Oryzias latipes: one gene and its partners. The protein of the gene in region 1 binds, or shares a complex with, the protein of each later gene. Links are inferred from orthologs where the notes say so. Each region holds a gene or a part of one and is shown in the gene's direction. Other genes may lie near its edges.

Evidence for each region.
Region 2: txnl4a (region 1) and prpf3 share a complex: the UniProt entries of both Homo sapiens proteins name them as parts of the precatalytic spliceosome. The link is inferred for Oryzias latipes from reciprocal best matches to the Homo sapiens genes TXNL4A and PRPF3.
Region 3: txnl4a (region 1) and lsm4 share a complex: the UniProt entries of both Homo sapiens proteins name them as parts of the precatalytic spliceosome. The link is inferred for Oryzias latipes from reciprocal best matches to the Homo sapiens genes TXNL4A and LSM4.
Region 4: txnl4a (region 1) and snrpd1 share a complex: the UniProt entries of both Homo sapiens proteins name them as parts of the U4/U6-U5 tri-snRNP complex. The link is inferred for Oryzias latipes from reciprocal best matches to the Homo sapiens genes TXNL4A and SNRPD1.
Region 5: txnl4a (region 1) and lsm3 share a complex: the UniProt entries of both Homo sapiens proteins name them as parts of the precatalytic spliceosome. The link is inferred for Oryzias latipes from reciprocal best matches to the Homo sapiens genes TXNL4A and LSM3.
Region 6: txnl4a (region 1) and lsm6 share a complex: the UniProt entries of both Homo sapiens proteins name them as parts of the precatalytic spliceosome. The link is inferred for Oryzias latipes from reciprocal best matches to the Homo sapiens genes TXNL4A and LSM6.
Region 7: txnl4a (region 1) and prpf31 share a complex: the UniProt entries of both Homo sapiens proteins name them as parts of the U4/U6-U5 tri-snRNP complex. The link is inferred for Oryzias latipes from reciprocal best matches to the Homo sapiens genes TXNL4A and PRPF31.

Annotation. Positions count from the first base shown.
Region 1 is NC_019869.2:14,391,542-14,395,872, forward strand, and holds txnl4a (thioredoxin-like protein 4A), read left to right. Parts: upstream 1-1,338; 5' UTR 1,339-1,485; intron 1,486-1,678; 5' UTR 1,679-1,684; coding exon 1,685-1,837; intron 1,838-3,118; coding exon 3,119-3,222; intron 3,223-3,303; coding exon 3,304-3,475; 3' UTR 3,476-3,666; downstream 3,667-4,331. UniProt on the Homo sapiens protein: Plays a role in pre-mRNA splicing as component of the U5 snRNP and U4/U6-U5 tri-snRNP complexes that are involved in spliceosome assembly, and as component of the precatalytic spliceosome (spliceosome B complex).
Region 2 is NC_019874.2:18,946,628-18,951,141, forward strand, and holds the start of prpf3 (U4/U6 small nuclear ribonucleoprotein Prp3), read left to right. Parts: upstream 1-1,510; 5' UTR 1,511-1,686; intron 1,687-2,069; 5' UTR 2,070-2,078; coding exon 2,079-2,223; intron 2,224-4,202; coding exon 4,203-4,333; intron 4,334-4,514. UniProt on the Homo sapiens protein: Plays a role in pre-mRNA splicing as component of the U4/U6-U5 tri-snRNP complex that is involved in spliceosome assembly, and as component of the precatalytic spliceosome (spliceosome B complex).
Region 3 is NC_019862.2:13,834,248-13,838,743, reverse strand, and holds the start of lsm4 (U6 snRNA-associated Sm-like protein LSm4), read left to right. Parts: upstream 1-1,443; 5' UTR 1,444-1,563; coding exon 1,564-1,566; intron 1,567-1,992; coding exon 1,993-2,034; intron 2,035-2,274; coding exon 2,275-2,373; intron 2,374-4,065; coding exon 4,066-4,246; intron 4,247-4,434; coding exon 4,435-4,496. UniProt on the Homo sapiens protein: Plays a role in pre-mRNA splicing as component of the U4/U6-U5 tri-snRNP complex that is involved in spliceosome assembly, and as component of the precatalytic spliceosome (spliceosome B complex).
Region 4 is NC_019869.2:22,965,314-22,969,755, reverse strand, and holds snrpd1 (small nuclear ribonucleoprotein Sm D1), read left to right. Parts: upstream 1-1,449; 5' UTR 1,450-1,581; coding exon 1,582-1,595; intron 1,596-2,999; coding exon 3,000-3,076; intron 3,077-3,151; coding exon 3,152-3,343; intron 3,344-3,549; coding exon 3,550-3,626; 3' UTR 3,627-4,198; downstream 4,199-4,442. UniProt on the Homo sapiens protein: Plays a role in pre-mRNA splicing as a core component of the spliceosomal U1, U2, U4 and U5 small nuclear ribonucleoproteins (snRNPs), the building blocks of the spliceosome.
Region 5 is NC_019863.2:18,333,487-18,337,884, forward strand, and holds the start of lsm3 (U6 snRNA-associated Sm-like protein LSm3), read left to right. Parts: upstream 1-1,433; 5' UTR 1,434-1,516; coding exon 1,517-1,537; intron 1,538-4,309; coding exon 4,310-4,398. UniProt on the Homo sapiens protein: Plays a role in pre-mRNA splicing as component of the U4/U6-U5 tri-snRNP complex that is involved in spliceosome assembly, and as component of the precatalytic spliceosome (spliceosome B complex).
Region 6 is NC_019859.2:18,489,142-18,493,445, forward strand, and holds the start of lsm6 (U6 snRNA-associated Sm-like protein LSm6), read left to right. Parts: upstream 1-1,456; 5' UTR 1,457-1,544; intron 1,545-1,961; 5' UTR 1,962-1,971; coding exon 1,972-2,065; intron 2,066-2,185; coding exon 2,186-2,299; intron 2,300-4,304. UniProt on the Homo sapiens protein: Plays a role in pre-mRNA splicing as component of the U4/U6-U5 tri-snRNP complex that is involved in spliceosome assembly, and as component of the precatalytic spliceosome (spliceosome B complex).
Region 7 is NC_019874.2:19,364,126-19,368,429, reverse strand, and holds the start of prpf31 (U4/U6 small nuclear ribonucleoprotein Prp31), read left to right. Parts: upstream 1-1,346; 5' UTR 1,347-1,519; intron 1,520-1,788; coding exon 1,789-2,001; intron 2,002-2,081; coding exon 2,082-2,142; intron 2,143-2,232; coding exon 2,233-2,316; intron 2,317-2,410; coding exon 2,411-2,508; intron 2,509-2,705; coding exon 2,706-2,812; intron 2,813-2,945; coding exon 2,946-3,115; intron 3,116-3,210; coding exon 3,211-3,368; intron 3,369-3,465; coding exon 3,466-3,555; intron 3,556-3,630; coding exon 3,631-3,758; intron 3,759-4,209; coding exon 4,210-4,282; intron 4,283-4,304. UniProt on the Homo sapiens protein: Involved in pre-mRNA splicing as component of the spliceosome. Required for the assembly of the U4/U5/U6 tri-snRNP complex, one of the building blocks of the spliceosome.

The DNA of each region.
Region 1 (4,331 bases):
TCTTCATGACAAACGTGAATGTTCCTCAAGCCGCCTTTTGGCCTCAAAAGGATGCAACCTTGAGTCTGATCCAAAATGTTATGAAGACCTGGGTGTTTTGCAGAGGAGTTGTAAATCTTAAAATGGTGAAAGGGGGTTTGAGCGCTATGTGACTGCTGAGAGACTTGACCAGACGGCTGATTTTGTGCAATATGAAAAACAGCCAAAACAAATTTAAAACAGTCTTTATCAGCTTTAAAGAGTGAATGCAGTGTTTGACGATAGTCCGGAAGCTGACTATCACTGTTGTTTGTAAAACAATCATGTGTCCTACATAAGATCGTGTAACATAGTTGGATTTTATGAATCATGTGTCCATTTAAAACCACAGAGATGTGACTGTGTAGCTTAAAGGGGAAATTAAAATGATGTATCTAATGATAATTGAACTCTCTTTAGGAGTGCCATAATGTGCTGCTATGTTAAAGACTGGAAAGTTTTCCTATAACCTTTGAACTGTGTTCGTTCTTTCTGTTTGTACTGTAATGAATTGCACAATAAATTTTTTATCTGTGTTTTTTCCTGCTTAAAACCGTTTCCTGTATCTCTGCCTACTTTCAAACGGAAGTAACACTCGTTTCAAGGAGCAACAAGAGAATAAAACATTGAAAATACAAAGGTAAATCATTATTGGGGGTTTTGATTTTACAAGTTATTTTTTTGCGTCAAAATCGTTTTTACTTACTGAATCTTAATGAACTATACTGTGCAGCTACTTGTCTTTTGAAAATTGTGCAAGCAGTAGTCCATAAACATTTGTTTTTCACTTGTGGTGCATGTACACATGCATCCCTAACAGGAAGCTATTATTTCTACCCATAAAAGGTTAGAGGAACAAGGGCATCCAAAAATTGATCATATGGGATGATTTTTCTTTTGGGGTTTTAATTACATTAAACGTGAAAATGCTTTGTCTATCAATTCTTCCTTGAAAATGTGGCAACGTAGAATAAATCTTATTCATCCTACAAAGAGGGGAAAAATGATCTACATAAAGAAATATATAAGGGGTGATGTTGTGTTAAGAAGTATACATTTTTCTACTTTCCTTTATCTTTCCGAATGTAGTGTTTCATTTTCTTGTTAAATTTGACATTTTAACCTAAATCTTTCTTTTAATAACTGGTTTCGCATAGCCTGCTTTCGATTTAAAGCCTTCCATGTAGTTTTTATTAAATTGTTCACTTTTGTCAACATCAGTTAAAGTAATACTAGATTTGTCATAAAATAGGACAAAAAGGAACAAAAAATAATACGTTTTCTCTGAATAGGTTTGTGGGATGTTGACGTAGACATTTTGCGACGACGTCGCGAGTTTGTGACGTTGTTAGGAACGAGCTCTAGATGCTGAAGATAGATTTTTTTTTCTTTATTGAGAGAACAAAGTAATTTTATCTAAGCAGAAATCTAATTTTATTTCATTATACTTAGTTTTGCTAATTCAAGGTAAGGTTCTTTCGTTCATGTTTGTGGTTCCGCATCTTCTAAAGTTTCGCTGTCATGATTTCTAGATTTTTCTTCAGCTAGCTTAGCATTAGCATTCATCAACCTCCTCTTCTCCGCGGTTATTTAACACTTTAAGATAACATTATCATTCAGAATTTTGGGTCGGGGGCGGTCTCGGATTCTCCATCTTTAGGTCAAGATGTCGTACATGCTACCGCATCTCCATAACGGCTGGCAGGTGGACCAGGCCATTCTGTCTGAGGAAGACCGAGTTCTGGTGATCCGCTTCGGACACGACTGGGACCCAACGTGTATGAAGATGGATGAAGTTCTTTATAGTATCGCTGAAAAGGTTTGATCAGCTTCTTATGTGCACCATAATTTCTATGGAAAAATAAAAGGGCTCGTCTGGTTACAGTATTAAAAGGGAAAATTATTTGCACCTTCCTTTGGTCCCCAAATCCCCCTGCTTTTGACTGTTAACAAGTTTGATAATAAATGCATAACATGAGAAAATATTCAATGGGTAAGGAAAGCTTAGCAGTTAGAGAAAACAGTTTGAATGTCTGCAGTCATCCTTTAAAGATTTCATTTAAGGATTTAACCCTCTTCTCTGGTTAGTTGCTGAAAGAAGGATCATACCTGAAGATTTAACTGAATCACAGGTTACAGTAAGACGACGGCAGTTTGTGACAAACCCCACTGCACCAACATACATAGGGTTTACAGAGAAATGGCGTTTTGGAGAAACATTCATACGAAAAACATCACCACAACAGCCAAAAAGCTCCAGATAAAACAGGAATTTCCTGATTCTTAATTGACGAATCGATTTCTTTTCCTATGAACCTACCAGATCCATCTGTCTGAGGCAAGTAGCTCATCAAATCAGCCTCTACCATTTTAAAATACTTTCAAAAGGAGATAAATCGATAATAGAATTGAAATTGGAAAATACAATTAGGATTGAGACATGGTAGGTTTATTTTACTGTAATGTAATAACGACCAATTGCATCACGGTGGACAACACACATGTGAGGTCAGCAAAAACTGATCAACCATCATAACAGTCCAATGTGTGGAAACAATATGAATTTAGCAAAGACGTGACCAGACAGTGTGGTAGAATGTTGTAATATTGTTCCCTTAGGATTCTTTGGATGTGGAAAAACAACAGTGGACTGAACTTTAGGAAACTAAAATGTGAATGGATTTGACTTTCATTCTGGTTTACTTGTTTGTTTGTACACATATTAATTTAAACTTGATTATCTTGAAGAAATATAAGGAATCTGGAAAACGTCACCTGTACTGTTCAGTATCCAGGTATTCATCTCTGAGTCACACTGGTTGAAGTTTTGGATAAAGATGTTCTGGATCGATCTTAGGCCAGAGAATCAGATCGTTCAAAATAAACAAATATCGATTATGAATCTGATCAGCAGCCACAAATTATGATATGAATTGAATCGTTAAAATGAAGTTTTAGTTTTTAATGTTCCTCTAAATCTTATTGACTGTTTTGGAGATTAATTTCTGTTCCTTAACCTTCATTAAAGTCACAGCTTTGGTTTCAGCAATCAAAGTCCAGATCCTTGTTGTTCTAGTAACCGCCACCTTTGTCTTCTCAGGTGAAGAACTTTGCAGTCATTTACCTGGTAGACATCACAGAAGTGCCCGACTTTAACAAGATGTACGAGTTGTACGATCCTTGCACCGTCATGTTCTTCTTCAGGTGAGGAACCCTCATCACTGGAACACAGGTCCTCATATCATATATGATGTCCAACGCTCCTGCCTTTGGTTTGTTTTCCAGGAACAAACACATCATGATTGACTTGGGAACTGGAAACAACAACAAGATCAACTGGCCCATGGAGGACAAACAGGAGATGATTGACATTGTAGAAACGGTGTATCGAGGAGCCAGAAAAGGACGGGGTCTGGTTGTTTCTCCCAAGGATTATTCTACTAAATACAGATACTGATTCTCACTTTTTTTAAACCATTTTTTACCCTTTTTGTGTATTTTTGTTTTGTTGATGACAAACAGAAGAAACTCTGCTTTTCCAGCAAAGGAGGACGATATTCCAGCTACTGGTCTCATTGTTTTCTCATCAGTTTTATTCAGTTTTGAAGCTTGTTTGAATTTTTGTGAATAAAAGTGTCAACAATCTTACGTTTGATTATTAAAATAAACTTGACTTTCATGTAAATATATTTAGGAAATTTTCTCAAATGTTTGAGTTTGTTTTGAAACTTTACAGCATTAAATCATTTTGCTATGGCAGTTAAAGACGTCACAGGAAGTGCAGTGACTCACAGCGGCTGTTGATACTTACTAGAGATTATGTCTAAATCAAATCAACTTCCAGTTTTGTTTTTTTGGGTGCACTTGCCAGAGTTGTCCGGTAGGTGGCATCATAGCAGTTCCACGTATGCACCAGTCTCCAGCATCACATGCAAATGCTCCTTCCTGCCGTGGCCTGGGGCAGTATTGGGACACGGCCCATCAAACAGACTTATGTGACACTTTTGTGTTGCTATAGAGATCATCTGTGGAACAAAGAACAGGAAATGACCTTAAAAGAACTTTATTTCATGATAGGACTTTTCCCCAAAAAACGGGGATCTTTGTGCTGTCAAACTAATTACAAATAGTCTGAATTAGAAACGAATGAATTAGATATCAGTTGTTGGAAGGCTTAATTTCGAGGAACTTTGTTTAACTATTTTCTGTGAAAACTGAGATGTTCTCATTTAGGATGATTGATTTCAACACAAAAATACAGTGACTGAAGTTTTATGTTTAAAGCAAAAAGTCACTAAAAGTTAAGCTGATTA
Region 2 (4,514 bases), on another chromosome or scaffold:
TTTGTCCAGCCCTATTTCATTAGGTTTTTTTTTTTAATAATTCTGTCAATCAACAACTCAGAAGTAATGGCTGATTTTGATTATTTAATTTTCAATTAATTTGAATTTATAATTTTATTGTTACTTTTGAACGTTTAAAGTCATTTCAGTGAGCCTTGTGGACTTTCTTTCTTTAACTGAGGGATACCAACAGTTTTGTCCACCACTATTTTAAAGGTTCATTGGGACAATTATTTTAATGTATTACATTTTTCTAGTAAGTGTAAATAGCTTTGCAGAGCATTTTTACAAAAGAAATTGCAATTTGTTAGCACTGACATGGATTATTATACAGAGAAGAGCCACTGTGTGGTAGCCTCAGGCTCACCACTGCTCATTCAGGCTCGCTCTACTACAAATGCACTCAGTTGACCCACATCACGCAAACCAATAGACACCCAGGGGCGGATCTGGAGTGGAGTGGGAAGGAAAGCACTTGATAAGCCAAAGATTTTTTTTTTTGGGGGGGGGGGGCTTTTTTTTGTAAGTTGACCGAGTATCTAAGTGCAGTGCTTGAGTAATGTTTAACTTAAGACTGAACTTAAGGGTTATGCGTAGCCTAAGCAGAAAATTGTGATTTACCATTCAAAGAAACTTTTCACTTCATGAACAAAAAGATGATGCCACTACATTTTGGAACTGCAATTAAATTTGCCCATGTCTTAAAATGCAAAAATCTCCTATATTGTGGTATTACAGTTTTCTCTTACGTTTGGTTAGATTTTGTTAGCAGTGGTTTAAAAAATGTTTGTGTTTATCTGTGGTAACACAACTACATTTTACTAGGACAGAAATTAAAATGCAAATACTTGCATTGCTCATTTGTATAAATAATAGTTATAATTTTCATAACACACATGCAGAAGAACACTCACAATGCATAATAAACATTGTTTTTATCACTGAAATTACTATTGTAAAATATATTATAAAATGTGCAGTATAAAGTACCTTAAAAAGGTATTCTGCTTACTAAATGCAAGCTACTTATTGAATAGGCTAACGTTTCTCAAGTTTAATTGAAACAAAAAAAGAATATAAAAAAAAAGAAACAAAAAAAAGAATATCAAAAAAAAGAAAGAATATCATGCAATCTGATTGTTTAAGTTTCACTTTGGACTATTTCCTATAAAATATGCCTTATTTAATCAAAAAATGTATGGAAGAAAATATTTGCACATAATTTAACTTTGGCCAGCTAGGCAAATACATTTTCAATCCCTTAACAAGACTTTACAGACAAAACAATTCCTTTGTGTTGTCAGCTGTCAGGTGAATTTCCTTGACTTGCTGAATTTTTGCTAATATTTAATGAACACTTTTAAATATATTATAGAAGCGGTTTTGACTTTTATTTTTTAAAGTGCCTTTATGAAAGCGCATAAACAACTGCAAGAGAAATGACATAGATGGCGAAAATCAAACAAAGCACGGTAAAAAGACTGAGAAGGATAAGTCGAGAAGAAGAATTTACGTCATTTCCTCTTCCGGGTCTCGTGGAAGAAACGTTACATGTACGGAGCGGCTAATCAGAAAGTTTGAAAGAAATGTTCAGGCTTTAGAGATTTGTACCCTTGAAATTAGATTCTTTTTGTGGGTAATTTAGAGTATATCTAAAGTAAAGAGGATTGTAGACAAAACTGAGAGGTTTGTATCCACCTTTAAGCCGCTATTAGCAGATTTCGGTAGCTCCCAAATGTAGCAATATGCTAACGTGTGCTAGCAGCGGTCGATGAGTTTTGGCGCAAGTAGCTAGTAGAGTTTAGCTTGTTTGCTATTTTGGTTAGTCTGGTTATTGATATGTTTTGATATGAAGCAACATTTTGTTAACTTAACTTTCATTTTTTATGACAAAAGGCAAACTTGTCCTCAAATGTGTTCGACATTTTTGACACGCAGGAGGGTCTCTCTGTGTCATGGCTTGTGATTAATAATGCCACTTGTGTAGCTCTCACTCATCAACTTTGTCAACAATAGGACTCCTGTTCCAACAAGAACTAAAAAAGACATCTGCGTGCTGTGTTTTGAAGGGCAGAAGGATGTCTCTTCCCAAGCGGGAGGTGGAGGAGTTGAGACCGTGGGTGGAGCGCACTGTGAAGAAGGTGTTGGGGTTTTCAGAGCCCACGGTGGTCACTGCAGCTTTACACTGTGTGGGGAAAGGATTGGACAAAAGGAAGACCACGGGTAAATTCCATGCTCATTTGCATGAAGAAAGAAGTTTTCAATCATTAGTAATTAATTCTGTTGTGGTTATTTTCATTTTTTTGTTCTGTTTTATTCCATCTTTGATGACACAGTTACTTGTGCATTTCTGAATTTAAGCGTCTCTTATTCATCTTGTTTTGAGGTTGCACATTAAGATAGTCTTATAATATAAAGCAAAAACAAACTCGTAAAAAATTTTAAGAGATTCTTTTGTTTGTCAAATGTTTGGTGCTTTTAGCTTTCCCGTAAACATTTGCTTATGATTACAGTCACTAATGGTCTTAGTCTAATAGTGTTTTTCAACCGTTGTGCCGTGTGATATTACCCATTTTCACTGATCTAAAAACATTTACCAAATCTAGGATATCAGCTCTGTGTTCATCCAAACAGGCCCCAAGAAAGCACTAAGTAGTTGGGAATATGAAAGATCGTAAAATACTTTTTTCTTTGTGTTTATTTGATTCTATTAAAGACATTTTGATAAGGCTGCACGTTGGCACAGTGGTTAGCACTCTTGCCTCACAGCAAGAAGGCCCCCAGTTCAAGTCCCAGCTGGGGGAACCAGAACATCAATGGGGGACCTATCTGTGTGGAGTTTGCATGTTCTCCCCGTACATGCGTGGGTTCTCTCCGGGGCCTCCGGCTTCCTCCCACAGCGACCTCCCACCTGTCCGTTCATACAACTCTAAATTGTCCCTAGGTGTGACTGTGAGAGTGCATGGGTGTGTGACCTGCGACAGACTGGCAACCTGTCCAGGGTGTCCCCTGCCTTCGCCCACAAGTGATGGGCTCCGGCAGCCCGTGATCCCGAAAGGGACAAAACGGAAGAAGATCATGAATGAACGAATGGCGGTACCGCGAGTTAGCCGCAGCTTCAGCTCTGTTTTTGGAAAAGTCCCACCCCTTTAACCCCTCCACCAATCATTCTTGGAGGTTTAATCCTGCGTCAACAGTCTGACCTCTCAGAAGTGGTTAAAGTCATCACTTCCTTGTTCTGATTTAGCTTTTTCCACTACATTTCCCATGATGCATTGGGTTAACGTGACAGCGTCTCAGCGGACGAGTCTTCCCTGTTAAACGTCTTGAAACCACAACAAACACACATCAGTTTTTAAATCTTCTTTATTAAATCAAAGGTCAACAGTTTAGTTTTCTTCAAGGTTTGTGTTTTTTTAATAACATCCAAACATCCCAGAGTTTGGTCCAAGTCATCTTTATTAATGAAACATTTTTCTTATAAGGTCTGTAAGAAATAGGATAATGTTGAAGTGGCCGAGAGACACAATCAAACAGAATTGAAACAATTTAATAATCTAAAAAGAAATAAAACATTTCTGTTAAAGTTTTCAAAGAATTAATCTTTGATTAAGACAAGAGAAAAACTAATAAAACTTCAACATGTTCACTTTTGATGTAGCTACAGAAAACATAAATATGTTAGTTTTGGTGTGTAAAACTTAACAATCATATTGTGATCATATAACTGTTCAAAAATTACAGTTGCCTTTGCACCAACATTGAAAAAAAATTGTAAAAAGTATATTATTTAGAAAGAATGTATTTGTTTTTTTGTGAGGTTACATGAAATTGCATGTTAATAAACTGGAGGGGAAAAAACATCTACCAGGGTAAATTTTCAATTAATTTATTTGAAAGTTATTACGGAAAACTAACTTAACTTTTATTACATCTTTTAGAAAAAACTGCTGCAACTTCCAGCTTTTTTGCCACAATTATCACAAAAATGTCTGTGATTGCGGAGGGACTGTAAATCAATACAGACTATAGAGTTTCTCCTTTTTTTTATTTTTGGATGCTTGTGTGCCGCAGGAATTTTGTCAAGGATAAAGTGTGCCTTGGCTCAAAAGAGGTTGAAAAACACTGGTCTTATATTAAGAAATGATTATCAACGAACTGTTGAATACATTGTTAATCATTTGACTCTTAATTGTCCTCAGACCAGTTGCGTCCCTTCCTCGAAGACTCAGCTGGTGGATTTGTTGAACGTCTTTTTGAAGCTCTTGAGGAAAGTAGAAGCAGCCGTGGCAGCAAAGGATCTGGAGAAAAGAACCGGAAGAGAGAACTTAAGGTAAATTAATGAATAAAAATTAATGATTTAGGCCTGCACAATATATTGCAAATTTATCGTTATTGCGACATCAAGCTGTGCAAATTGCATATCGCAAAGGACTGCAAAAATTGCAATAAATTGTAACCTTAAATGTTATGGTAGCTTGAAGTATTTAATGAATCAAATAAATCCATTTATG
Region 3 (4,496 bases), on another chromosome or scaffold:
AGCTGACGACTCCTTCTCCCACAATCAAAAGAAACCTGCCGTTCTCTCTCATCCTGCACGCTGCGTCAAACCCAACGTAATGACGCCATCAACGGAATGACGGCTACGGTGGCTGAGAAATGTCAACTTAGGGAAAAAACAAAAAGAAAAAATAAATAAATAAAAACTACACAAATATCCTATTTTAATACAACCAATTGTCTTGCCTGTGTTTTATCATAAAATAAGACTTTAATTAAGTACCAAGCTATAAATTAGTTGTTGCAAAAATTGCACCAGCAAAAATATGAACGTGTTGGTCAAATTATATAAGGATTCACGTAATTCAATTACATGAATCCATTTGGTAATGAAAAAAATTATTATTTTTTAAACCACTGTCACATTTATTTAGACTTTACCAAAACCAGACAGACCTTAATCATAAAATAGAATAGAACAGAATAGAATAGAATAGACTTATTTTATTGTCACTGTGTCACATGTACACGCAACAAAATTCCAGCTTTTCCTTTTTTATAATACAAGGAGTTGTGGCAGTGATCTATTCAATATTATTCTTCTCTTTCTTCTCTATTATCCTCATTTTATCATCATTATTTTTTTTAATTTTATTCTGTACTAATTTAAGGAATAAAAATGCATTTCACTGAAAATGAAGAAAAAATTACTGTATTATGTTTAGTCTAGACACTCATACCTAATGCGAACTAATCAGCAATGGTACAATCTGAAATTTGAGACACAGGATTTTGCTATAAGATATTATTAAGCGGTTTTATGCTTTGAAGGAAATGTTTGTGTATAGATAGATAGATAGATAGATAGATAGATAGATAGATAGATAGATAGATAGATAGATAGATAGATAGATAGATAGATAGATAGATAGATAGATAGATAGATAGATAGATAGATAGATAGATAGATAGATAGATAGATAGATAGATAGATGGATGGATGGATGGATGGATGGATGGATGGATGGATGGATGGATGGATGGATGGATGGATGGATGGATAGATAGATGGATGGATAGATAGATAGATAGATAGATAGATAGATAGATAGATAGATAGATAGATAGATAGATAGATAGATAGATAGATAGATAGATAGATAGATAGATAGATAGATAGATAGATAGATAGATAGATAGATAGATAGATAGATAGATAGATAGATAGATAGATAGATAGATAGATAGATAGATAGATAGATAGATAGATAGATAGATAGATAGATAGATAGATAGATAGATAGATAGATAGATGTTACACTTGGTCCTCTGTATTTATTTTTGAATTTCGTCACAGTAAAAGAACAAAAGAAAATGCTCCTGTGTTTGATAGATAGATGTTACACTTGGTCCTCTGTATTTATTTTTGAATTTCGTCACAGTAAAAGAACAAAAGAAAATGCTCCTGTGTTTGCGCATGTTTTGCGCTAGGGGGCAGTCATGTTTTAATAAGACGTGGCACCGAGTACGTAGAAAACGAAGAAGAGTCTGCGAGTAAAAATCGTGTTGCTAATCTAAGGCAGCACAAACATAACCTACCAGAATGGTAAGTTATTACTTACAAATGGACTATTTTGTAAAAATCACACACTATATAAAAATACTGACCTGTTCTTTGGCTTCAAAAATCCCATGTAACTGGTTTAAACATCGCAAATCAAGGCTAAGCTACGCTAGCAACCAATGCTAAATTGTTTTCTGCTTGTGGAACGCTGACTATACAAGTGGTTCTTTTTAAAATTATTTTCTATATAAATATATAAGGGGGGGGGGTCACCATTTCAGATACACGTTTAGTACTAAACTAAACACAAACGAATCATTATAGTTCGGAACAGAGCTTAAGTTTCTCCGCCGACACAGAAATACATTCAGACGTGTTCTTCATTTCTGAATCAATATTCCTTTTAGAATGCATTATTTTAATATATCATAGAGATCATAAATCGGACCCATTTCTACTATTTCGCAGCTTCCCTTGTCCCTTTTGAAGACGGCCCAGAACCATCCTATGGTAAGAAATAATTGCTTTTCTTTCCTCCTTCTATTCCTTATCTGGTGATTACTGGTTAAACCATTTTATTCAGTTACTTGTGGTTTTAAGATCAGGTTTTTTGTTTTGTTATTGAGATTGTTTGCATGTTTTTCTTTAAACAATAATTTTTGTGCATTTCTTTTTGAATAAAGAAAGAACCTTTTAGAAAACCATAATCACCAGCTGACCTTTTTTTCAATGAACTTTGATTTTTTTCAGCTGGTTGAACTGAAGAATGGAGAAACCTACAACGGTCATCTGGTTAGCTGTGACAACTGGATGAACATCAACTTGAGAGAAGTCATCTGCACATCCAGGGTAACAGATTTGCTCTCATGTTCTCAGTGGAGAACGATCCATAAACTGCACACCTTAAATAAAAAAAATTAGCTTAAATTTAACAGTCGCTTACCTGTTTCCTTCAGTTTTCATTCTGACTACCTTAGCCGTTTAAAGACCCACCCCAATTAAAATAGTGTATTTGTTTGGTTTGGTTTTTAACATGTTTTGTGGCATTTTTCTCATAATGACGGACATATATAAAGAAAGTTTGTAGGCAATTAGATCCATTTACGTCTTGGTTTTCCTCGTCTGAGCTGGCATCTGGCTTTAAACTGTACGTCTGTATAGCTTCAACATTCCCCACCAATTTTCTTGCACTTGGTGTTAGATTGGGGGTATGAGGGTGTGTAAGCTAGCAGGAGAGTGGAAACAAAGGGACCTTGGAAAATGCGGCAGGCTTTTTTAGGTATATTTCTAATGAACTTCTGTCACTCTGCAGAAACTGTCCTAGAAAACAAGACAAGTTTTTCATTTTGGCTTAAAGCTGCATAATGAAAAAAAACAAAATCAAAATACTGGGAATAGATCAAAAGATAATTGAAGTGAGCCTTTAAAATATAAAGACTAATGTATAATGAAGCAATGGTTTTAGTAAAACATCCTTTGATACATGTTGGAACAAAAACCTCAACGCTAATTTTTTTTGTTAGAAGAAAAAGGACTGATTATTGTTAAAGGCCCTGTACCATGCTATTCCTAAACCATTCATGGTAAAGAATATCCATATATATATTACCTTTGGCCCACAAAAGAAAGATTTTTTAAATTAAATATTAGTTACGTGGCGCAGTGGTTAGCGCAAGATCCCCCAGCCAAGTTTTGGGGACTTGGTTGCTGTTGGTCCCCCAGCCAACTGCAAGCCCAGCCAGGTCCAAGACTTGGCTGGGGGACCTGAAAAAGAACCTGTCTGTGTGGAGTTTGCATGTTCTCCCCGTGCATACGTGGGTTTTCTCCGGGGACTCCCACCTTCGTAGGTTAATTGGTTACCTTAAATTGTCCATAAGTGTGAATGCAAGTGTGCATGGGTGAGTGATTTGTGGACCTGTGACAGACTGGTGTCCTGTCCAGGAAGCCCCCTGCCTTCACCCATGAGTAGCTGGGATAGGCCCCGGCAGCCCAGTGACCCCAAAAGGGACAAAGCGGGTTTAGAAGATGAATTAAAAAATGATGAATGAATATTAGTTATTTTCCTGAGTTATTTTCCAACCTGGAAGCAAGACGACTGGATCTGAGGCACCGGCACTTCCATGATGTCAACCTATAGCCAGCATCAACAACATGTCTGTGTCTCGCCCACGAAACAAACAACATTCAAACTTTCGTAAAGATGAATGTGCATATTGAGCATGTAAAGAGAGTTTTGCCAAACACCACTAGCTTCATGGAGTGTGTGTTTTAGCCTGGGGGCGGGGCTGGCAGCGCAGACTCTTCCTGGAAGGGGCTGTTCTCACTTATCTACATCAGCTCGTGAGAACCCGCTTGTTTTTGTGGGTTAGGTGTGGCTGGTTCCTGGAGCACAGGTTTTTAGAGGAATTCTCAGAAATGCGTGAATGGGTCAATACTGGTTTGAGGTTTCTTTATAATACACCGGGAAGTTCAAAAAAGGGATTTAGCATAGACCCTTTGAAGTATACTGGTTACACTCATCGTTTGGTCTTTTTCCCACAGGATGGTGATAAGTTTTGGAGGATGCCAGAGTGCTACATCAGGGGAAGTACCATCAAGTATCTGCGAATTCCAGATGAGATTATTGACATGGTGAAGGATGAGGTGGTTTCTAAGGGTCGTGGACGTGGAGGTGCCCAGCAGAATAAGCAGCAGGGTAAAGGAAGAGGCGGAGCCGGCCGAGGTGAGAGGAAGCAACTTCTGCATTTGTTCTGTCATGATTTGCCTTAATGAGACTTAGATCAGCTTAAAATAAGTAAAAAATCCCTCTGTTAAAGCTTTTAAACACATCTGGTGAAACATCATCTTTATTTGTTTAGGAATTTATTATTCTAACTTGCTGAATTTGACATTTTTTGTGTCTGTATGTAGGTGTGTTTGGCAGCCGCGGCAGAGGGATGTCAGGTCCTGGTCGAGGCCAGCAGCCACAGCAG
Region 4 (4,442 bases), about 8.6 Mb from region 1:
TTAATACTCACCCACAATGTTTACAGGGGGCTGAATCACTGCCTTTAGGTAGGAGGCGATTTGGTGCTGGAATGAGAGGAATATTAATTTAAGGGAGTTAAGTTGGTGTTGAATTTCTTCTACTGTAGTAAATGGGTGGTGGTTTGAGTTTGAAGCCAGATGTGTTGCCCATGATTTCATTCAATGAACTGTACTGGTGTGTGTTTTTCTTTTTTATTATACAGCATTTATTATCCCTGAATGGGAAGTTTGTATTTTTGTTTTTTTGCAGTCGTGCTACACTCATCAGGCAGCATGCAGAGGACATGTTTGGGGGTTTTTCAGCATTTTCACGTTTGGACTGATGGTGAATGTTGTGGTGGCATTTGTTCTCCACACTGTTTGATTAAATCCTCCCTCCACAAATACCTTCTTTTTTCTTTTTTTTTAAATACAACAATTTGCACTTTCTTTAGGTTTCACTTGATACATTCCCAGCTTGTCTCAATAAATAAAAAGTATTGCTGTTTGGCCAAAACTCTAAATGAAATATCAATGCAAAGTTTACTCTCAATAAAAAGATCTGAAAGTTTGCTCCTTTGTTCTTTTTGTCTTCTTTCCTAGATCAATGGTTCCCAGCTTTTTGTGTATTTTGTAAGGATGTAAAGGATACAGTTACGTATTGAAAATTGATCAAGTACTGGAAGTAACAGCTCTATCAATCGATAACCTTAAATACGAGCAAGTTGGTGAAAAGGTAAAAAAATGAAATCAATCAGGAAGTAAATCGTTATTTTTTTTTCTTTTCTGTCTTTACTGTCTTTGCCTTTTTATGTACATGTGATGCCAACATGAAGACACCCAATCACAAAGCCTACTTCTACCAAATCGGGTCAATTATGATTGGCTGAATGTGAACCACAGTGTGCTGTGTTCTCTTTTTTCACGGTACTGCAAACAATGCCTGAATAAATTCCTATGACAATTTTTTGATCATAAATAAAAACAGAACAGTATTCGTAGTTGAAGCAGTTCTCTCAGAGATGTTTTGTTTTTGTTGCTTCAAAAAAAGGGCCAATAAGAACAAAATTTAAGAAAAAAGTTTCTCTGTTAAATGGCATTTCCATTAATAATTTTAAATGCCAAATACATAAATAGAAATCTATGAATAAATGACTGGTACTTTATTTTTTAGCACCATACAATGGCATCAGGGTGCCAAAGGGCTTACATTAACATAACATTTAAAATTGAGTAGATTGAGAGGGGAAAAAAACAGCATTAGATGGAAAAAACAATAAAACACATAGAAAAACAGTTAATAATTAAAGTAATTGGTAAGTAATTAAATAAAGACAGTAAAGGAATATTAGATGCCACCAACCCAATGAGTAAGAGAAAACAACTCATTTTTGTCTTTCCACTGACTGTTCTTCATCTCACCACCAGGCGGCGGTAAGACAACATTGACGGTGAGCGGTGGCCTCTTTCTGACGTCATATCAACGCGACACAAACGTTGGTGGTACATCAGCGGCCTGTGATTTCACTCGATCGCTGTAATTTTTCTCGTCGGTGGAGGATCTTTTCTCTACTGTTCGTCATGAAACTAGTCAGGTAATTTGCTGCATGGTCTGTAGATGTGTCGACTGGTTTAAGATAGGATGATGAAATAAAGGCTGTGTGGCCGGATGGGTTCAGATAGACAAATGAACTGTGTGGAGAGGCGGGAACAAGGCTGCTGGGTTTTCATTCAAAAAATACATATAAACATATCATTAGAGCTAACTATTTAATCAAGGATTAAACTGCTTGTTTTAGCAATATTTGTAAAAGATCGAGGCTGATTCGTTATCATTTATGGTTTTGCAAATTTCCCCCCGCATTATTAAAACTATCGTACTAAAGGAGGTTAATTTATTAGATGTTGTTTCCGTTTCCTCAAAGTGCTTTATCATTATTTAATTGTATTTATTTTTGGATGTTTTTAATTTCCACAACTTAAGAGACAAATGTTTTGTTTTCAGTTTACACAACAGTATCAATCCACCGAAGCTAACAAGCTAAGAGCTAACACGAGTTTTGTTTAGATACTAAAAAAAAAATACATTCAAAAAGGGGGGGGGGGGTATTTTGTACAATTTTATACGTTAAATCTTATGTGTTGTACAAAAATGCTGTCTAATGTTTGTGAGAGAGAGACGTCTTCTTTGTGCAAAGCAGTAAGTTGGCTAATTGATCATTCAAGATGGATCTAGTCATTAAAGTCTTCTACAGCAATGGTGCCAACCTTCTAATAAAGCGGTTTTTTATTGTATTTAATTTATCAAAATATTTTTATGATTAACAGAAAACGTTACCAACAATTATTTCTAACAAAAAGTCCGCATAAATGTTCATACAAAACATTAAAAAATGTGAATCTGAAAATGGAGTTTAAAGTCTTCCATTTTATCCAGTATGTATGGGATCAAATGCAGTTTTTGTATGAAATGGTGCATATCACAGTATGTTTATTTCCCTCGTTTTTTTTATGTTTGACATTTTGTTTATTTCATTTGTATTTTGTGAATATGAACAGACATAAAAATGATGCTTTTAATTTGTTAAAGTCCACCAATCAATTATTGATTAACATTTTCCTGTTCTAGTTCTGCTTAAAGGTCAGCATGTTATTAGTGTATTTTTTTTCATGGTATTGTCACTTTAAAACATTGACGTTTAAATGAAAGTGCCTTTTGGATTCAGAAAACCAAAATGAATGTGCCAATTCTAGGTTTTTGAAAAATACACTTTTGAGTAAGAATAAAACACGTGAACCTTTTTTGTTTCATGTGGGATGACAATAAATCATGTTTTTTTTTTTTTTGCGAAAATGATTCTTTCCCTGAAGTGTAGATACATTATACTGGTACTGCTTTTTGATTACAAAATGGTATGTTTGGTAAAGTATAGTGCAGTAAAACAACTCTTAAAGGTTAAGTAAATGTAAATGTATGCTACTCTCCCGTGTCCACACAGGTTTTTGATGAAGCTCAGTCATGAGACCGTTACCATTGAACTGAAGAATGGCACTCAGGTCCATGGCACCATCACAGGTGAGAGCAAACACTTTAGAGACGAATAAATGAACTAAATCATTTTTAAAATCCTCTTCTTCTTCTTTTTAATAGGTGTTGATGTAAGCATGAACACACACTTGAAGGCGGTGAAAATGACCCTAAAGAACAGGGAACCCACTCAGCTGGAGTCCCTGAGTATCCGAGGCAACAACATTCGCTACTTCATCCTGCCAGACAGTCTTCCACTGGACACCTTGCTGGTCGACATTGAACCAAAGATCAAGTCCAAGAAGAGAGAAGCAGGTGGGAGATTTGGGCACATTCTTACCTGGAAAATTGTATTAAGTTGAGAAGGATTTTTCTGCGATAAGAAATCCCTCAACAGTATTTATATTCATCATGGGTGTGTAAATCTGCTGTTTATTTCTTTGAGAAATGTTTTGTTCTGCTGATTAAAACTTTTTTTTTTCACGAGTATGGTGAAAGAATCTGGCCTTTCTTGTTCTCAGTTGCTGGTAGGGGGCGAGGCAGAGGACGGGGCCGTGGCAGAGGAAGAGGACGAGGGCGAGGTGGACCACGGAGATGATTTCAGAGCCCCAACTGTTTGTACAGCTTTTAATTGTACTGCGCGGTGGACGCAAAGTGAATCTAAGTGTAAGTTTAGGGTTGTTTTTCTTTTTTATACTCGTGGGTTGTTTAAGACCGCGAGGGGGTTTTGGATGCTGTTGATTCATAATTTGTACCATCTTGAATAAAATGTCTGAGCAGCATTTAAACTGGGTAAAAATGTCATCTGTTTTTTGCTTTTTTTATACCTTCTTGTGTCTTTGGCAAAGTTGGCTGAAAATGTAGCTGTTCTACTGGCATCAAAGAAGAATAAATCTTTTTTTTTCTCTTTGTAATATTTGGCTCTTTAATTGGCTTGATTAGTTTTCACTTTTCCTATAAGTGATTGAAATAGGTTGATAAGGTTTTTTTTCACAGTTTCTGGAACTGATTACATCTCAACTTATTGTTGATGATGTTCCAGATACTGCTGATCCACCTCTGGTGGATGGTGTGGATGTTGATGACTGCAAATGTAAAAACCTTTTGTCCAATACTTAGATGGGCTGGCTCTTAACCCACATAAGTTTCCAATAAAATAAAGAAAATCCACTTTGAATTTTGACATCATTGTAAAAACTTATGTTTGTTATTGAAGATCTCTGTTTGGATTTTTCTGAAATTTAATATTTTTTCTCAAATTCTATTGGCAACACACCCCACCTTCATGTGTACTATCATTAAGATATTCTTTTTCTGTAAAGAATTACTTTTATCTGACACGGTGAACATGTTTTTAAAACGTGTGACATTTAAAACAAAACAAATATTTAAAATAAAATCACTTTTAAGACTC
Region 5 (4,398 bases), on another chromosome or scaffold:
GCTGCTGAGCAAGCAGAAAAACAGTGTTAGTCCACCTGAAATTCTCACTGATTCTCAGTGAAGAGCAGTATAAACAGGAAACAGTGTGAACTGAGCGTGGAGCCTGTTTGCGGTGCTGTCTGAGCTTGTTGCAGGATCTCTTCCATCACAAAGCCATGATGTAGCTGAGGGTGGAATGGGCAGTACCACTGCTCTGATCTGCCTCCCCTCCCACTGACAAATCCAGTATGAAGAACTGGATCGTCCTGAGAAGAGAGGAGGCGCACACCTGTAACCCTACAAACACAACGCGGAGAATAGCAGCCTCACAGGACCAGAGGCTGTGTATGACATCACAAACAGAACGTCTGCAACCCATTTAGTTACATTAACCAGTCTAAACTAGTGATGTTCAATAAATATAGTTTTTTCCCCAAAATAAAATAATGACGCAATAAATCACAACCGCTGCATCATTTTATCTTTACTTAAATAGCATTTTGCTTTTTATTTTCCAACACTTGGTTGGTATCCTGTATACAAGAAATTGTTATTTTTAATAAAAAAAATAATAATTGAAAAGCAATTTATTTCGTTTTTCTGCTTTTTAAGTCCACCTATTATAATTTTAGACTGTTATTAAAACGATTTCTTATCTTTAAATGCAAGACTTTGAAAAGAGTAATCAATGAACATAAAATAGCCTTTTTTGGTCTGTTAGTTTCAATTAATAAATCGATTAATTATTTAGTGTAATCATTAAAAATAAATATTTGAATAAACTGCAGATTACATTTTAGGAATATATTCTCTCTTAAAAGAATTTTAACGGTTTTCTCACTAACGGAAAGCTTCATTATGTGTAACTATTTACATTTCATTTCTCGTTTACATTAACATTTCGCATACGGAATATTTCTAAACAGACCCGTTAGACACTGAATTCCCAATAACAGCTTTACTACCACTCAAAACGCTCTGGAATATTAGTGTAGACAGGACAAATACCTCAAAATGAACAGATATTTATGAATTAATTTACCTTCTCGCTGCTCTGCGCGGATGACACGACAGTGTCCTGTGAGGACAGAAAGCTCTGGAAAACGCTAAAGGACGGTACTGGATAACGTTGCCAGGTTTGAACATACACGCAACGCGTCGAGAGAAAGGTGAATTTCTTTTCTTTATAGTTTAGTCTTTTCAGTTGTTTCAATTTAAAAGTGGCAGGGATGCAACAAGGAGATGTTTGTGTTGTATTTAAATTTTAGGTAAGGACTATGTATGGATTTACACATACTTTAAATTTAGTCTTTTAAGGATGGATGTTGATACCATAAGTTTTAATAATAAACATTTCACATTCTCAAAGTACGCATAGATATATATTGTAAACTAATTATTTGTATAAAATTCAACTTTGTTGAACTGGAAATCGAGGGATAATTCGAAACGCACGTGTGTGTTGCCGTTTGAAATCTTAATTTCACCGGACCTGGCAACCTGCGTACCGGAATCGACGCGCGCATGCTCGAACAGTATGGCGGACGAAGCTGAGCAGGTTAGCGGTTCTTTCGCTAATTATATGTTTAACCTTACAACGAACGAACAGAAGCCCACTTTGCTTCTAAAAGTGCAGACTGCGCTGCACGCTGCATTATTTTTAAAGTGCTTTAAGGTTATTACAGGAACGTTTTTGACCTGTTTGGGGCCGTGGAAGCGGCTAACCGAGTTAGCCGAATTATTAGCCTTGGTGTTCCTGTGTTTCAATTGAACGCAAATGTTTGGTTTGAAACACAGTTCATTGCTTTAGTGCTAACCAGGCAGCTAAATAGTTTATACAGGAAGGAAAGTTTGTGTAAAATGTGTGGGGAAAACAACAGCTGTAGCTCCAGCCGTCGAGGGCATGCATTCTGCTGTGTTCATTAAACGGCCTTCTTCTGATTCTGGTTACCTCAGGTGTGTTTTGCTAATCAACAGCAGGCAGACTAGGACACCTGCCCTCGAGGACTGAAACTTTACATTTGAGGTTTCTACTCTCTGAAACGCTTGGCGTTTCTGGCTGCCGGCCGCTCTGGGAGGGGGGGGGGCGCCTACCGCGGCCGGCTGGGGGGCCGGTCGCTCGGGGGAGCCTTCTCCCCCGGTTGTGCCCATCCGCCCGCTCCTCCCCGCTCTCACCCAAACAAATATTGCACACAGGCACATAGGGCCCCGGGATCTGGATGGGAGGGGTATGCTGGCGGGGCTCACTGGGGATGCCCCTCTCTGGGTTCTCGTTGGCACCCGCCCTCCTCCCCGCTTTTTACTTGCATATTAGACACTCTGATTCATCTAGGGCCTTGTGGAGAGGGTCTGGTGGAGGGGGGCACGGTGAAACATCCGTGCTCACCTTTCGCTGGCCCCCCCACAATTTTAACTTCCTCTGTAGACACACACACTGCATGCTAGCAGCACACACACAGCAAATACACACCACTCACAGAGGGACTCCGGAGTGGGGGGCTTTGCGGCTTGGCAGCGGTGGAGCCCCCCACACTGGTGACCTCCTATTTTACCTGCAGCACACACACAGCACTCCCACACCTCCATACATGGGTGGGGTCGGGGGGGGGGGGCGGCCGGTCTTCACCCGCCTGGTCCTCTCAGGGCGGCCAGGCTTATGGGTGTCCTGTCGGCTGCGGGAGGGGTCGGGCATGCGGCGCTGGGGGTTGGCCGGCTGGGGGGGGGGGGGGGGGGGGGGGGTTACTGCTTGGCGGCGGGGGTAGGGAGGGTAACCAGATGATTGTGAGTATGTGTGTGTGAGTGCATGGGTAGGACCGACCTGGGGGCTGGCTCGCTGGGACCCTCTGGGGCTTTCCCTCCCAATCACAGAGAGGGGAGGGCACTGAGAGGGTTGGGGAGGGGGGGTCAGATATTATGGCGGGGGGGGGGTTGTAGTGCGTCGGGTTTTAGGGGGGTGGCTGTGGCTGCGGGTGCGTGGCGATCCCTGGGTTGCTAGGGTCGCGTGCCTGGGCTGGCTTGCGGGGACGGGGCGCTGGTCGGGTGGTGGCCGGCTCATGGGTTCCGGGGCCCTGGCTTCGTCCCTGGCCTTTGTCTCGGTGTCCGGCGCCCGGTGGCCCCCATGGCTGCCGCCTGGTACGGCTAAGCGCTCCTGTCTTGTGGCCTGGGGGCCGGACACTGGGTTCGCTTGTGCCTCTGGGCATTGGGGGGGCCCCTGTAGGGGGGCCCTCTCTGTGCCTGGCTGGTGGGGTGGGCGGTCCCCTCCTCCTCCCCTCCCGGGCTGCCTGGGTCCGGATGCTGGGGGGGCTTCTGGCCTGGGGGGCTCTCCTCCCCTCTCCTGGTCTGGCTGGTCTGGCTGGGTAGGATCTGGCTCCCTTTATGAACACACGGTTCACGTCGGCAGCATGCATGTATCTCCACCCCCACGTGCACGTGCACACTGCCACACTGCTCCCTGTCTGCTTCATCCCTCCTCCTTACCTACAGTGTATTGATGGACAGTTTTTTTTCCGCTCATCTTAGTGTCAGATTTTGACCTTTGATGTAACATTCGTCTTTCCAGCAGATCTGGTATAATTGTTACAGCTTAAATTAATAACTTAGTCAAATCAGTGCTTGTATCCCCCACCTTTTCACCTTTCTTCCTTTTACTCTCTTCCACCCTCCCCTCACATTCTTCCCCTCTCCCTCCCCACACACACTAAATGTAACAAATAAATAAAAAATAATACGACAAAAAGGGGTTTATACAAATCTACACTCTAGTTTCTTGAAGCTATATAACCTCTTTTTGTGATAGTAAAACCTGTCCAACACAAAAAGCCTTCAGCTCTAATCTGTTTGCTCAGAAGTTGGACAGAACAAGTTAGAAAAAAAAAAAAAAAAAAAAAAGATTAGTAAGCAAACTGACTTTCATTCTAATCACAAGGTTTAGAATTTTTAGTCACCAAAATGTTTTTTTTTTGTCTTTTATTTTTATTTTTAATGCTATACTCTTAATTTAACAGTTCAAACACATTCACACAGGTTACCCAAACGCCAATACATGTAATCTGCCTTCACTTGTTTTGCTGAAACCCATGAGATTAGTAATGCTTTTATATTAAACATATATAAATGTCACAAAACAGTCGTTTTTGGTGTCTTAAATGTAGGTTGGATGTTTCAACATTTTATTTTGATTGCTGAATTAAAAACTGTGAATCACAAGTTGATTTCTGTGTTGTCAAATTGTGTTGAGATGGGAAAAAAAGTAGTATTTTCATTCTGGTTCAGCAGACTCTCAGCGGCAAAGACTTTAAACTGAAGTTTTGTTTTTCTGTGTGTCCTCAAGCAACCATCCACCAACACGGTCGAGGAGCCGCTTGATCTAATCAGGCTCAGTCTGGATGAGCGGATCTACGTGAAGATGAGGAATGACCG
Region 6 (4,304 bases), on another chromosome or scaffold:
TACACTGAAAAAAGGGACTTTGTGAAAAAAACCTAAATAAAAAGAAAAACACTGGCTCTGATATCTTACCACCACTTTGTTTTTATTTTAGAAATGATTTTTAGAGTTTCAAGATTGCTGATCTTCATGACCTAGCAAAAGCGGAAGTTCTTTGTCCAAAAACGGATCGCCATATTTCATATATAAAACAGTCAAACTTAGTGTGTTAGATATTACTTTAAACTTTCCTTGATGTTTTTATTCATAGACATTCCAGTGAGAACATCAAAAACAATAAAGTAGTGGTTTTGATTGCCTCATCACTGAACTTACTCCAAATGTTGTCCGTATAAACTTTGTAACTACTTAAACTTCTTTTATACACAACAAATACTTAATCTTAGCATTTCTATTTTTCTTGTCTGATAGGTTTTCACAAATACATTGTCACAATCAGAAAGTGTAAAATATCATGCGCTTTGACCTCAACTGAATCCAACAATGTTTGCAGTTCTTTGCATGTTCTGCTTGTTCCACGGTCTTCTGTGTGGCATTCATTCTTGGCGTTGTTTTGCTGGCTGATGAAGTTTTCTACTGTTCCAAATTTTAATTTGTCTTGATTTTAGTGCAGCTAATGATGATTAATCAAATGCTTTGCTCTGCCCTTTGTGAGTTGTGTATCTCTGACACAGTTTAGGACTTGTTTAAATCCAAACTATGTGAATAAATGTTAAAAGCATCCCAGCAAAAGAATGCATCCAGCTCTAACTGGATTTCTCCTGGTGGCCTTCTCAGCTTATTAAACATAAGTGAGCTCGATCAATTGCTCACTTGTTTTTTTTTTCTCACTGTTTAATTGCTGAAGCCATAGAACATCCAGTTAGGTTGTAACATTGTCCGTCTAACAGGTTTATTCTGCAGATTCAAGCCTTTACAGATTGTCCAAAGGTACTAAATGTTTCTTCAGCTGAAACAGGCATGTGACTTGACATTTCAGGTCTCAATAATAACTTCCTCTGACTGCCTTATTCTAAGTCCTAACATTTGCCTATAAACAACCCTTACTAATTATTGCTCTCTTTGCCAATGAATAGCAACTGGTGCAACATGCAGCAAAAACGTAATATGCTAAACTCTTCAGTTCTGGGATAAAAAATTGTGAATTGATCCAACCGGTGTTGACATAAAAAAAAGTAGTTTTGAACTTTTTATTTTATTTTACAGGACTTAAATTAGAATGTAATGTCTTGACATGTGTCCTGCTTTAGAAAAAAGCCGGTTAAGAGTTTAATGGTTTGAAAACAGTAAACAGTTCTATTATTATTATTATTATTATTATTATTATTATTATTATTATTATTATTATTATTATTATTATTATTATTATTATTATTATTATTATTATTATTATTATTATTATTAACAGATTTTCTAAATTTAGCGCGTTTGCTACTTAATGCGATTTCGATATTTTTGACAACGGCCGGCTACCATAGACTGCACGTATATGATTGGGTAGTTCGCGGGTGTCGTTGAAAACAGTCGTTTGCTAGACGTAATAGCAGGTGAGTGGAATGTAAACCAAGCCATTTACCTCTGCTTGTAAAGCAAACATGCGTTTAGCCTATTTACATTGCAGATACAATTGTTTAGAAAATCTTAAAGAACCTCCGGCATTATCTCTACAGACATTAGACAGTTAACCCCGTCAGTAGCCAGATGGTTAGCTACGCTAGCAGTAGCAGCTAACGTCTCCCGCTTGCTCAGTGATTTAATTTGTTCATTGATGCTTATTTCTGTAGTTCAGCACGTGGTTGGAAAAAATGAGAGTTGGGCTTTTTATGTGGTATTTTAGCGGAAATAAAACATCGTTTTTTATGTATTAAATCCACGCTATTAAACATAAAACTAATCATGGAGGACGATGGCGATGCTAGCACAAGAAACTAAAAGGCTAATATACAAAAACCTTTATTTTTCAGATCAAGCAAGATGAGTATGAGAAAACAAACGCCGAGTGACTTCCTTAAGCAGATAATTGGTAGACCAGTGGTGGTCAAACTAAACTCTGGTGTGGATTACAGAGGTAAAACACCTGGCGTGCCAGGCTCAGCCGCACGGTTCTCCTTTATTGTTATTTCTAAATGTCTGTTAAGGAATGAGACTTTAACCAAAACTTTGTTCCTGTTTGCTATAACTTATGCAGGTGTTCTGGCCTGTCTGGATGGTTACATGAACATCGCCATTGAACAGACAGAAGAGTATGTTAATGGACAGCTCAAGAACAAGTATGGGGATGCCTTTCTGAGAGGAAACAATGGTAAGAGGTTACATTTTTACAATAAAAATACTGATTAAGCCTTCTGCACATAATGACGTTAGTCAAGGGGGTATGCCTTTAGATTATATGTTTTAACTTTACACTGAATAGTAGGTATGCATAGTCAGTTAAATAACCCAAAATCATTGGTTAATGATATTTGACCTATTCATCATAGTTTTAATTTATTTTTAAATACAGCGATGTATGTCTGAAACATGCAAATATGGTGAAAATATTTACATTGCATAAGGCATGCCTAAGAACTCATTTAAAGAAATTGGAATTATTGGTCAAGTTTAGGTGACTATGGTAGAGAGATGTGGTTTGGAGTTGTTTCTTTGCAGAAATGATTAGGTAAAAGTAGCCTAATCAAATAGATTTAATGCATGTCTTAAACCAGGGGTCGGCAACCTTTACCACTCAAAGAGTCATTTGGAGCCGTTTCCCACAGAAATGAAAGCACAGGGAACCGCAACACAAGGGGTGTTAGAAATAAAGCGTTTTGCTTTTGAAATGTCGCAATAGTTCATTTGACAATACTTGTATTGATTCAAAATGCTGTCAGGATATTTATTTAATTATTTATTTTAATTATTTATGAGCCTTATGTTTCCTTTGATCTTTTGTCCATTTTACACAACCTTGATCTTGTGCCCCTACGAGATTACCGCTGACTGTCTTTATAGAAGAACTTTCCATCCCATACCAGACTCTGGTCAGTATTCACATGTGCAGACACGCCCCCTCCGCGTGCTCACGCTGCGCTCTTCCTCCTGACCGCTCGCGCTACCCGACGGTGTTAAAGGCTCTACAACAATCTTAGAACATGATAGGTATTTTACAAAAATACAGACAGTCGCAGCACAGGGATGAAAGCGGCTCCGGAGCCGCAGGTTGCCTACCCATGTCTTAAACCAACAAAAAACTATTTGGGGAGTATTAGAAAAAAGTTGACAATTTTGCTAATAGGAACGTTTCAAAGTGATAGAAATGAATCTTAACAATTTTAAGTGCATGATTGATTTATATTGGTTTAACCAAATGGACAGTAATGACACAAATTTTTAAAGGTTTAAGGCAGTACGAAGCAGGATGATCTATAGGTGTGACACAAAAACGATCAGATGCAGATTGTTTAGGAGGCAAACGAATAGAATGGGCTGGCTAAAATATCTTTAACCTCTTAAGACCTGATGTCCACATGTGCGAACATCACATATTACCACAGTTGTTAATTTTGCTTAACTGGGGCCCTGTGACTATGTGTAGAGGGTTATCTCAAATATTAGCTCGGGTCTTAAAAGGTAAAACTATCACCTTCCCAGTTTATCTGAGTTTTTTCTTTTGCATATGGAAAATATATTAAAAAAAAGACTTTGGATACATCTGTAAATGGCATTTCTAAAACTGCAGTAAATAATTTCACTTTACCTTTAAAAATGTAAATTCTTTCACTAACTTATACCATCTGCTGTGAGATTTCATCTTTAGGTACACAAAATCTGTGTTTGGGGAATATTTGAAATTTGTTTGAAATGTTAACCACTAATGGAGAGCTAGCCTAGCATATTCTGACACAACACAATCAAGGAAACCTTACATAATGATGTAAGCTTTCTCTTTTTTGTCCTTTTATTTTCTAAAGAAACACACTTTATTCCTATGTGTGGACAACACAAAAATCCAAAAAAATTATATAAGGGCAATACCAATGTTACTACTTCATCTGCAGAGACAGCCTAAGCACTAGAGGTGTGTATTGGCAAGAGTCTGACGATACGATGCGTATCCTTATATAGTACCGGAGCACATTTTCTTTCTTTTTTAAAAAGAAAATGACTTAGAAAAATATCTGACTTAATTTCAATATGTCTTTCATTGTAAAAAAATGGTCAAATTCCATTTAATGATCACAATGTTGAGCACTGCAACTGTATCTCATATACAAGTTGCTTTTACCCAGGCAAATTCAGAGTGCTTTTATTTTGGTAACATAAAATAT
Region 7 (4,304 bases), on another chromosome or scaffold:
TTAATTGCTGGAAAAAAGAACTATTTTGTATAATTTTACTTGTTAATACTTGCCAATCTGTACTGTACTGAATTATGTCTTGTAATGTTTCCTTATTTTCATGTTTATATTATTAGCAGTCTTGTCATTCTTTATCTTGTTTAATGACCGTTTATGTAGCTTAGCATGACAGAACAGTTGCTCATCAGTAAATAAGACCATTTGCTTGTGTATTTGTTAATTTATTTCATTTTCTACTAATAGCCATCAATCATGCAGCTGAGGTCCAACTAGTCCATTTGTTTAGTCTGTTTAAATGTTGGTTTAAAATTGTATTGTTTAAAAACTGGGTTTCAAAGGGGAGGATGTACAATAAAAACTACAAAATGTGAGCCTCTTATCCAATACGGGTCATGTCCCAGTCATTGTTCATTCGTTCAAATACCTCACCAATTTGTTGCAAGGGCAGGGTCCTTTCTGAGTCCCTATATTGTGTCAATTAGAAGTAATATTTAAATATGTTCTACTGAAAGCAGAAGTCAGTTACAGAATAAAATGTATAAAATAGAACAGTTAATAAATATAAGTCTAATAAAGTGGGAAACCACAATTGGTCAAAGCATAAACGTCCATTGATAAAGAATTTGTGGCCCATTGTTTTGTGAATGAAATTTTGATTGTAAAGGTAATTGTCTTATTTCTATAAAGTTTTTGTGTGCTATGGTGAAGTATCATAATTTATTAAAATTGTTGTAAAAAAAAAAAAAAAAAAAAGTTAACCAAACTCTAGTTTCCTGAATGCAAGACTGGTACTTTGCTGCCATGTATGTATTATATTTTGTGTGTAAATATTTTAAAACGCAATTTAAATATAAAATGTAAAGTTTTTAAGTTCTTACTTTGTCCCATCACTTTTGAATACGTTTTTTTTAACAGTTTGTCACAGAAACTTACTAGTCATTTATTTAGTTATTTGTTGTTGTTTTTTTAACTTCTCTTCCTATTATGTACAGGTAGCTTTTAAGGGTCTAATAAATAATATAAAATAAATTAAGAATAGAAAAATATTTTTAAAACAATATTTTAAGAACTACAAATAAAAGAAGAGTTATAGTAAAGTCATTTTCGGAATACTAGAAAAAAACCTGTGTTTTTATTTTGTGGCCTGAAATGTAACTCCTTATTCGAATAAATATGTATTTAGTTGCGACCTACTACACATTTTTTAAGAGAAGGTAATTAAAGCAACCAAGTAAACTCATAAAGACCGAACATTCATTTTTAGAAAGAAGCCCGTATGTTATTTTCTCATCTCTTAAGGAAAGGGGATACTTACCCATAATCCCATGCGGAAATCGTGACGTATTTATTCTGCGACAAACCACCCGGATCGTGAGCTTTATGTTGTAAACAGGAGCAAGAAGCCGCACAAGTAGCATTACCTATATTGGCTTCTATTAGAACCCTTCCTGTCTAAAGTGACTTTTAAAAAAATATAAATATATTTTTGTTTTGTTTTACTTCATTTTGAAAGTGCGACGTAAGTTACTATTTTTCAGTGTTGAATGACGTTTGGTGAACGTTTGCTAACTTTAGCTAGCTAACACAGAATAGCAGACTGATATCAGTTTTTGTTTTTTTCAACGGGATGTTTATAAAAAATAACACTGATAGACTTTCGTTAGATCTACTTCCTTTTGAAAATAATTGCAATAAACACAAATTTAACAACTGCCCACACTTTTACTCTCGTTTAAGCTGAAAGATGCATTGTTAGAAGATGGATCATGAATTTTACTCTGATTGCAGATGTCATTGGCTGACGAGCTTCTGGCTGACCTGGAGGAAGCTGGAGATGAGGGGGAAGATGGGCTGTACCCAGAGGGGGAGGAAGGAGGGAGTGATGGAGAGGGGGCTTCAGGGAGGACAGAAAGACTGGAAGATATCCCCGAAGAGATGGAGGTGGACTACAGTAAAACTGACAGCATTACGTCTATCGCCAAGCTCCGCAATAGCAAACAGGTCTTTGTTTAGCTGACTCTCATAAAGAGTTCCTTTTTTTCACTACCTGAAGGCAGTCCCTTTTAACTGCTTGTTTTCAGTTTTCAGATATAATTGAAAAAATATCTGGATATATTGGAAAACAGCGCAAGAATTCAGATGGTGAGTGTTGAAAAAATGTGCATTTTAACAGAAAATGTTACTGATTTACTTCCATTTCTTTTTCTCCTGTTTACCTGTATTTTCTTTCAGTTTCAGGACCAGTTGAGGCTGACCCAGAATACAGGCTGATTGTTGCAGCCAACAATCTTACAGTTGAAATTGACAATGAGCTTAGTGAGTTGGACTTTTATTGTGCGACAAAACCTAATGAAGAAATTGGATTCTTTCAACTGAAAGTGTGAGGTCTGTGTTTCTCCTGTCTTTTCAGACATCATTCACAAGTTTACAAGGGACAAATACTCCAAGAGATTTCCAGAGCTTGAGTCTTTGGTTCCAGATTCTTTAGATTACATTCGCACAGTCAAGGTTTGTTGATCTTAAAAGATAAGTTTGGAGACGTTGAAGTTACCGGATATCAAATTTTTGATTTTGTTTTTCTTCTATTAAAAGAAAAGATTTGCTGAATGGTTTCCATTATTCTGCATAGGTTTGTTTTTTTCTTTTTGCATCTAACCTCTAAATCTTCCCCCTTTTTTTGTTGTAAATGTGTGCTTCGTATAAAGGAATTGGGAAACAACCTGGAGAAATGTAAAAACAATGAAACCCTGCAGCAAATTCTAACCAATGCCACCATTATGGTCGTCAGTGTCACTGCATCAACTACACAGGGGTAAGTTTAAGAATGTTGGTACTTGTGTCCTATTACAATAAACTTTTTTTTTTAACATTTCCATTATTATGTCTGTTGTTTATTTTATTTACATAGACACTCCCTTTATATATTTTATTGTTTTCCTCTTAAGGTCATTGCTAACGGAAGATGAGCTGAAGCAGCTTGAGGAGGCTTGTGACATGGCTCTGGAGCTCAACCAGTCAAAACACAGGATATATGAATATGTAGAGTCCAGAATGTCCTTTATAGCTCCAAACCTGTCAATCATTGTGGGAGCATCGACTGCAGCAAAGATCATGGGTGAGGAAGTGAAACTATCTAGAAAATATCAAGTTTTTTTATGCCCATACATTTTTTTTTCTTACTTTTGAATTTTTTTCCCTGTTTGGCTGAAGGCATTGCTGGAGGCCTAACAAACCTCTCAAAGATGCCAGCCTGCAACTTGATGCTGCTGGGAGCCCAAAGGAAAACTCTGTCAGGCTTCAGTAGCACATCGCTGCTTCCTCACACGGGCTACATCTACCACTGTGATGTTGTGCAGTCATTGCCTCCTGTCAGTACACCATATTCAAGAATAACAAGTACCTTTTCCACATCTAATGTTTGTTTGCCTTAGTTATCTCCTTTCCCCTTTTGTTCTCCCCCCTCAGGACCTTAGGAGGAAGGCAGCTCGTCTGGTGGCCGCGAAATGCACTCTGGCTTCTCGAGTAGACAGTTTCCACGAGAGTCCAGATGGAAAGGTAAACATCTCAAATTAAAGGAACATTCAGAAATATAATTTCTGTCTCTGTTATTCAACTCCCTTTGTAATGCAGGTTGGCTATGACCTAAAAGAAGAAATAGAGAGAAAGTTTGATAAATGGCAGGAACCTCCACCAGTGAAGCAGGTCAAACCACTGCCAGCCCCGCTGGACGGACAGAGAAAGAAGAGAGGAGGAAGGAGGTCAGTCACTTATGGTTATTAGTATTTGATAGAATTGCCTGTAAATTCATCAAAACCTCTGTTTGTATTATAAATATAGTCAATGGCTTCAAAACTATTTAAGGAATTTTATAATTCTCAAAAACTGCTCTTTTGCCAGAGTTCTTTTAAAAATATGCTGCAATGTAATTGTTGTTTTAAACATCTTTGATATAGAAATACTTTTGTCTAACAAAGAACTAACTAAATGGAGAAATACAATTATTTGGACAGCCCTACTCAGTTCATTTTTGTCCAATTAGTTTACTTTGAAGTATTTTGTAATATCTTAAACTGCAGTACAATCAATTAATCTGCATAATTGTGACAAATGTTGAATTTATCACAGATGTAATGTTTTAGTGAAAGAGATATTGAATGTGTTTATTAGTCAATGCTTTGGTTTGAGCTGCCCTTTATGTTTGTTCTGTAGGTATCGAAAAATGAAAGAGCGCCTGGGGCTGACTGAGATCAGGAAACATGCCAACAGAATGACCTTTGCAGAGGTTTGTGGATTGTCTTAAAGCA